Linked DNA regions of Ovis aries. Each later gene encodes a partner of the first gene's protein in a complex. Links are inferred from orthologs where the notes say so. Each region holds a gene or a part of one and is shown on either strand. Other genes may lie near its edges.

The links.
Region 2: TERT (region 1) and GAR1 share a complex: the UniProt entries of both Homo sapiens proteins name them as parts of the telomerase holoenzyme complex. The link is inferred for Ovis aries from reciprocal best matches to the Homo sapiens genes TERT and GAR1.

Annotation. Positions count from the first base shown.
Region 1 is NC_056069.1:71,203,981-71,207,789, forward strand, and holds part of TERT (telomerase reverse transcriptase), read left to right. Parts: intron 1-697; coding exon 698-824; intron 825-1,333; exon of another isoform or gene 1,334-1,374; coding exon 1,375-1,436; exon of another isoform or gene 1,437-1,922; coding exon 1,923-2,047; intron 2,048-2,516; exon of another isoform or gene 2,517-2,731; coding exon 2,732-2,869; exon of another isoform or gene 2,870-3,247; coding exon 3,248-3,351; 3' UTR 3,352-3,809. UniProt on the Homo sapiens protein: Telomerase is a ribonucleoprotein enzyme essential for the replication of chromosome termini in most eukaryotes. Active in progenitor and cancer cells. Inactive, or very low activity, in normal somatic cells.
Region 2 is NC_056059.1:15,946,387-15,950,069, forward strand, and holds part of GAR1 (H/ACA ribonucleoprotein complex subunit 1), read right to left. Parts: intron 2,789-3,683; coding exon 2,634-2,788; intron 2,172-2,633; coding exon 2,112-2,171; intron 1,867-2,111; coding exon 1,728-1,866; intron 1-1,727. UniProt on the Homo sapiens protein: Required for ribosome biogenesis and telomere maintenance. Part of the H/ACA small nucleolar ribonucleoprotein (H/ACA snoRNP) complex, which catalyzes pseudouridylation of rRNA.

The DNA.
Region 1 (3,809 bases):
ATGGGTTAGGGCCCGTGTTCAGCGTCTCTTCCTGGACCTCCGTCCCCGTGGGTTAGGGCCCGTGTGCTCAGCGTCTCTGCGTCTCTTCCTGGGCCCCGTCCCTGTGGGTTAGGGCCCCCCTTATGCGCTCGTTTGACCTTAGTCATCTTCTCAAAGGCCTTGTCCCCGAACGGCCGCGGGGGCGGGCTCACCCTGTGAATTTGGGGATGCAGTTGAGCCCCTGGCGGCCCTCTGCCCCCGCCTCACCCTGGGATGGTGCAGCGAGCCCCAGGCTTTGCACAGACGTGGAGGGCTGAGGAGCAGTGTGGCTGCAAGCGTGTCCTCTGCTCTGTGAGGAGCGAGCCGTCTCGGGGCGCTGCTGGATGGGGCTACCCTGTCCTGCGCTGCTAGCCCAGTCCTGCTGGGGGGCTGGGGGCTGCCCCCAGGCGCTCCCTGGGAAGACGCGGGGCGGACGCTTGCCGTCCGTGGTTCCGTGTGTCCACCTGCTGCTCCCGACACTCCCTGCGTGTCCACGCACCGACTGCGCCGGCGAGTCATGACCCGCCCACTGTCCTGTCTGGGTGCCCGTGAAGCTGTGACTGTGTGGGGGACAGGTAGCCTTCCTGGCCGATCAGTGTAGCCGAGGGGCGGGACATCTAGGTGTGGGTCAGTGCTGGGTGGACACACTTGCTTCCCTGGACCCCACCCTGTCTCACAGTTACGCCCGGACGTCCATCAGAGCGAGTCTCACCTTCACCCAGGGCTTCAAGCCCGGGAGGAACATGCGTCGCAAGCTGTTGGCGGTCCTGCAGCTCAAGTGCCACGGGCTCTTCCTGGACCTGCAGGTTGGGGGGCAGGGCCGCGGGGCGTGGGGGCAGCTGGCCCCCCATGTGTTGTATTTCCTGGGGGAGTGGGTGGGCAGGTGCACACTTGTGTGTGGAAGGACGTTGGTCATCACACACGTGTACGTGTGACTGAGCGTGTGGGTGCGCATGTGTGCCTGTGTGTGAAAGGACGTTGGTCATCACACACGTGTATGCGTGACCGAGCGTGTGGGTGTGGATGCTTGTGCAGCTGTGTGCATGCCTGTGCCCACAGCGCTCACCCCACCGTCCTCGCCTTGTCCCTGCTCGTCCCCTTGGGCCGGGCCTTTGTGGCCCTTGCTTGTCCCCCTGGGGCCTGAACCGTCGTCCTGCCAGGCTCCCGCCCTCTCCCTTCCCGCGGGCCTGGCCGCCTCTGAGGGCCCCTGGGGACCTGGTGGGTTTCCCCAGAGAGGCCACTGGGTTCTTCCCGGGGCGACCCTTTTTCCTGCTCCGCTTGATGGGGCCATAAAGCAAACTCAGGAACGCAAAGCGAGAGGTGCCGCCAGCGTTTTCTTCTCTTTTCTTTCTGAAGGTGAACAGTCTCCAGACGGTTTTCACAAACGTGTACAAGATATTCCTGCTGCAGGCCTACAGGTGCGTCTGGTGGAGGATGGGGCCTCAGCCGCAGTGCTGCGCTCGCCCGGGACCTGGGGGACACGCTGCTCCCCAGTGCGATGAGGCAGCCCCTGAGTCCTTGGTGTCCTTGTCCACCCTGGGAATGCTGCTCTGTCCCCAGGGAGTACTCAGGGGTCTCGTCAACAGGGGGAGGGCTGCAGGGCGGGGCAGGGCAGGGCAGGGAGCAGAGATCAGTGTCTGCGGTGGCCCCCAGCCCTCAGGTGCCCCCAGGAGGGGCAGCGGGAAGCCGCACCAATTGGCACAGACTAGCTTCCGGAACATTCCCCGCCCTGGGGCCATGCCACCCGCCAGGTGCTGAGCTGGGGCGCAGGCAGCTGACTGTGGAGTCCGGGGCTCATCCACCCCTAACCGGGACCCCGAGCCAGGCTCGGCCTGCATGGTCTCCGTGGAGCCCCTCTTGGGCAGCGTGGGGGGGGCGTGTCCTGACGGGGCCGCCGCCCCCAGGTTCCACGCCTGCGTGCTGCAGCTGCCCTTCAGCCAGCCGGTCGGGAGCAGCCCCGCGTTCTTTCTCCAGGTCATCATGGACACGGCGTCCCGAGGCTACACCCTCCTGAAAGCCAGAAACGCAGGTGCTTGGGCGCCCGGGGCTGAGGGCTTGCGGGGGCGGGGACTTGAGCTGCAAGTCACCTACACCCGCCGGCAGGAGATGGGGCAGGAGACGGGGCCAGGGCGCCTCTACCTTGCTGGCGGCTCAGGCCCTCCATTGGCCTGTCGTCCGCTGCCAGCCTGGAGTGACCAGGCACCTAGGCACCAGCTGGGGATCCTCCCCTGCGTGCCCCGCCTGCTCACGGGCAGCCCTCCTGTCTCGGTGCCCTGGGCATTGGGTCAGCCAGGCCAGCGGGCAGCAGGAGGCCCTGGGCCGCCCTTGCCCACACTGGGGAGGAGCCTGCTGAGGGACCCCCGTGTGCTTTGGGGTCACCAGCCCTCAGCTCGGCCTTCCTGGGGCATCCCCGTGCCCGCCCCCACGGCCTCGGCCAGGGCCCTGAGGACCCGTCCGAGGTCCCGGCTGTGCGGCCTGTGAGGCTTGTGCAGACTTACCGTCACTGTCCTTGTTCGTGGAGGTTTCTTGGAGAAGTTGAAGGAAACATCTGTTGTCAGAATTCCCTGGGCTCCTATCGGGGTTGCGCCTGGGGCGAAAGCGCTGGTTTTCCGCCCCCAACATTGTCCCACAAGCGCACTGAGGGCTCTCCGCCTGGAGGCCCCGGTCTCCCTAGCGCGGCGTCGGGCAGGGCCTCAGTCATGCGTGTCCCCAGGGGCGTCGCTGGGGGCCAGGGGCGCCTCCGGCCTGTTCCCGTCTGAAGCGGCACACTGGCTGTGTCTCCACGCCTTCCTGCACAAGCTGGCTCGCCACCGCGCCACCTACAGCCGCCTGCTGGGGGCTCTCCGGACAGGTGGGTGTGGGCGGACACAAGGCGGCCCCTTCGGGCAGGTGGGTGGGCCCAGGAGTTTCCACGAGCCGGGGTCACAGCCCCGCCCCGCCCAGGGCACACCCAGCCGGGTCACGCCGCCTCTCACGGCCCTTCTCGGGGCCTCCTCCCCGCGGCGTCTGCCCACCAGCCCCCTACCTGTGTCCCCTCGGGCGCTGCCCAGCTGCCCCCGTGGCTCCGGGCGTGATGGGTTGTCTCCCCTTGCTGAGGCTCCCACCCCCCAGCTCGCCGGCACACAGCCGGCCCAGCGTGGGTGCCCGCGTGGCCTCAGTGGTGTGCCTGGTAAGCAGCGGTCTCTGGCGCCCCCCGAAAGGGGCTCTGAGTGCATCCCCCTCTCCACAGCCCAAGCTCGGCTGCACCGGCAGCTCCCAGGGCCCACACGTGCCGCCCTGGAGGCGGCGGCCAACCCCGCTGTGACCGCAGACTTCAAGACCATCTTGGACTGACCGTCAGCCCTGCCCACAGCCAGGGGTGGGCTCTGGAGCCCATGGGAGGCGCCTGCTCCATGGCGAAGCCGGGGCCCCCCCGAGAGCCCTGGGGAGGGGGCCCCGCTGCCCTGTGCCCCTCCAGAGACCATGCATCTCCAGTAGCTGACCGCCAGGCCCGGCAAGACGTGCGGGAGAGCCTGGCAGGGTGGTTGGGTATCGGAATAGGGAGTTGGGGGGGGGTTGTCACCCCTCTCCCCTGCACTGGAGTGAGGACACGTCTGTCCAGCGGCTCGGGGGGTCTCGGGGGCTGAGTGGGCCCTGCCCGCTGCTGACAGTGCGCCTGCGCCCCGCCCGGCCCTTGGTCCATGCCTTTCCCCCCACCCGCTGAGCTCGAAGTCCAGCCTGCTGGGCCTTCCCCGCAGTCAGCTGCTGGGGGCCCCACCCTCACCCCTGGCCCCACCATCCCCACGCCTGCC
Region 2 (3,683 bases), on another chromosome or scaffold:
CCATGATCTTTGTATTTTTACTGTTAATGTCATTAGCAAAAAATATAAAGCAAGAAATGTGCATTAAAATGAGGTATAATATAATCATATTTATTTAAGAATGTATTCTAATATCAAAGGGCAAAATTCAACAACGCAAAATTACAATTATTTCTGGACCAAGCTAACATATATTCACATATTTTATCTTGCAGAATTTTTTTAAAGATAAAAATGGAGAAATAGTAGTAGTTTCTCAATCCAGTGGAAAGAAAAAATCCTAGTTTACAACTTTTTAAACAAGTTTTGTTTTAATACGTTAGAAAAGTTTGTTACTTTAAAGTTCAATTTAGCCCTATTGTTAAATGTATTTGTACCTCAACTTTTGCTTATGGGATACACTTTTTAAACTGCACTAAGGCTTCTTAATTCTAAGAACAAAAAGTAGCAGACATGGGTGGTTTGGTTCTGGGAGTACTACCATGCCTGCTAAGTTGCTTCAGTCGTGTCCGACTCCGTGACCCAATAGACTGTAGCCCACCAGGCCCCCGTCTATCGGATTCTCCAGGCAAGAATACTGGAATGGGTTGGCATGCCCTCCTCCAAGGAATCTTCCCAACCCAGGGATCGAACCCATGTCCCTTATGTCTCCTATATTGGCAGGTAGATTCTTTACCACTAGCGCCACCTGGGAAGTACCATGGATACAACATTTAAGGTTAACTGAGCTGGAAACAGACACACTGATGTTCATATGCTGACAAGCTTTGAAATTTTAAAATTTTAAATTATTTTCTTCTATTATCCAATACATTTGGCTTCCTACTGCAGTCCCTACTTTTACTTATTTTGGGGGACAGTTTTGTAAAAGAATGATGAAACATAAAAAGAGAAATTATAAAGAAACAAACACATACGTCTAAAATACAATATAAAGATTAAGACTTTAAGAAAATAGAGTTGTGAATTTTTTAAACTATTTTATATAAGACTGAATATAGAATGGGAATGAGGGGATCTCCATTCAAATTCTCAAAGGGATACTTCCAAAGAAATAAATATATACATATCTCTTAAGAGATTATCTCCAAGTTATCTGGATCCCAAAAAGGCACATTTACAGGGTGAAACGTTCATTAAATTGAGAGGCAAAAGTGAAAACGAAATTCTCTTTTCTGATACAGTAACCCACTTGGCAGCTCCTCTTCCTTACCACTTTGGCTCTGTCCATCATCCTGTCACCCACCTAACACATCATTCCCAGATGCTGCATTCCAGCTCATCCCCAGCTTTACTTATCACCTAGCTGCCTACACAATAAATGTACCAAAGCTGTGGGGAAATACATAATATCAACATACTGAAACCAAAGCAATGAATTTATTGGTAATAATAGTCTTTGACATGACATCAGAAGACACTGGTTTTATTTCTGAGCTGCCAATTGTTTGATTAGGACAAATTAACATTTCTAAGCTTCCATTTCCTCATTCATAAAAATAAAGATATCACCCACCTTCATAAAGTTTTGCTAAATACTAATTAAAAAATTAAAATTCAATTAAGATAATCCTATACGTTATAGAAACTAAGCATTATTACTATGGTAATCTGCCAAAATTTGAAAGAGCCTAACTAAAAGAAATAACCATAAGAGAGGTTGACTTATATGAAAAATTAAATTGTACTCTTTAAATAGGCTGTGACTTTGAAATCTCATTAGAAGTTTTCCTCCATGGGGAACTTACCACCTCTGCCACCTCTGCCACCTCTGCCTCTTCCTCCTCCTTGACCTCCCCTGCCACCGCCTCTCGGAGGTCCCTTTTCACCAGGAGGTCGAGGTAGAAACCTCTGCAACGGCAGCAGCTTATATGGGTCTATATAAAACTGGAAGTAAAATAGAAACAATTAGTGTGATGAGCTGGGGGATATACAATATAATAATTAAGAACCGGTATACAATATAATAATTAAGAACCGACACACTAGACTCAAAACTGCCTGGGTCAAATCCCAACCCTCTAACTTCACTAGTGATACACTGAGGAAGTTTCCAGTGCTTTTAAGTAAAACTGTCCTAAGGTAGGTCATTCATTTATAAAACCAAGGATCTAGGTGTTAGCTTGACTCACCTTCTGTAGTTTTTTAAAGGAAGATGCTTTCATGTTCTCTGATAATTTAACTGAAAAATACTATTAATTTTATTAAGGAATAAACAATTATAATGAAAGATAATCTTCTGAATTCACATGTCATTTTTAAAATAACAAGGTTAGAATATACAGAAATATTCACGAAAAGTAAGAAATGAGTTTCCAAACAGAAGTGAAGTTTTTGTTTTAAAACTTCCAGGTCCACCATACTATTGCAGTAGCATCATCATATCAAAAACAAAGTAACTCAAATGGCACTGATCCAAATGACAATCATTTCTAAAAGCTTAAAAAAAGGAAGGCACACTTAAAGAGGCCTATCTTTTCAATTTATGTGGAAATATATTCCCCTGTCTTGATTCTCCTTTATGGTCCAATCTTAGCAATACTGCATCCACTTCAGTGAAGCACCAAGTTCAGTTTAATCAATACTTATCTCCAGAAAAACACAAATCATGACCTTTCAACAGGATTGCTACATCTTCCAATTAAAAAGGATACAAAATCTCTAAGCTGTCCAAATATTTCGTCCACTTTTCCAATTTGTTCTTTGTTTTCTAAATAAACTGGAGCATTGAAATAAGGTACTTTATTTTCATCTGTGGTACATTTACACACTATGTCATCTTCACAAGGGTGCAGGAACTCTCCTAATACTAAAATAGGACATAAAATTGTTAAAATATAAAACAGTTTCAAATGATATTGACCAACCTCTTCTAGAAGCTTTCCTCTTGGCTGCCTGGGATTTCACCAGCAAAAAAGCCTTCCTGGCTTAGTACCAACTCCACAAAATACTAGCTATGTGACCTGGAGTAAGGGTCTCACCTTTTCTATTCTTCAGTGCCTTCATCTTTAATGTAGGGCTAACAACAAAACCCTTGGCTAACACCTAGTACTGTGAGGATTAAGCACAACAATAAGTGTCAAGTGCTTAGAAAGTGCCTGGCATATTGAGACCACTCAACCTGTAAGTTATTTTGTTATAGTTACTATTATTATTTGATTAAATGCTATGCTTCATTCTATTGTCTCTTCTTCCTTCTCCCCATCCATAACTCTAAGACAGTCTGTTGTTCTCCTGCCTTTTCCCCCCCCTTCCCCTTTTAAAATTTCCCACTACTACCTTTTCACTGACTCTTCGATCCTTACCAAGAAAGTCTGGAATTTCATATAACTACCTTTATATCTAACTTCTATCCACCCCAAACTAAAATACTCACCATATTCCTATAAAACCAACTCTCAATTCCCATCACCCAAGTTCAAAATCAAGAATCTTTTATTTCTAGTATTAGTCAAGTTCTAAGTTTGTTTCCACTGAGATTTCTCTCCCATCTAACCCTTCCTTTTTTCTTCACTTTCCCAATGCTCTCAATGTGTCATGCATGGACTGTTACGGGACAGGACCTTTGATTCTAGCCACTGACCTCTACACCATTTTGCATACCGATCCAACTTTCTCTTCATATATTAGACTCTATTTATCCTGTCTCTTCTTTAATGCAGGCTTCTACTGTCAAATTTCTGTCTCACTTTCTAAAACTTCCA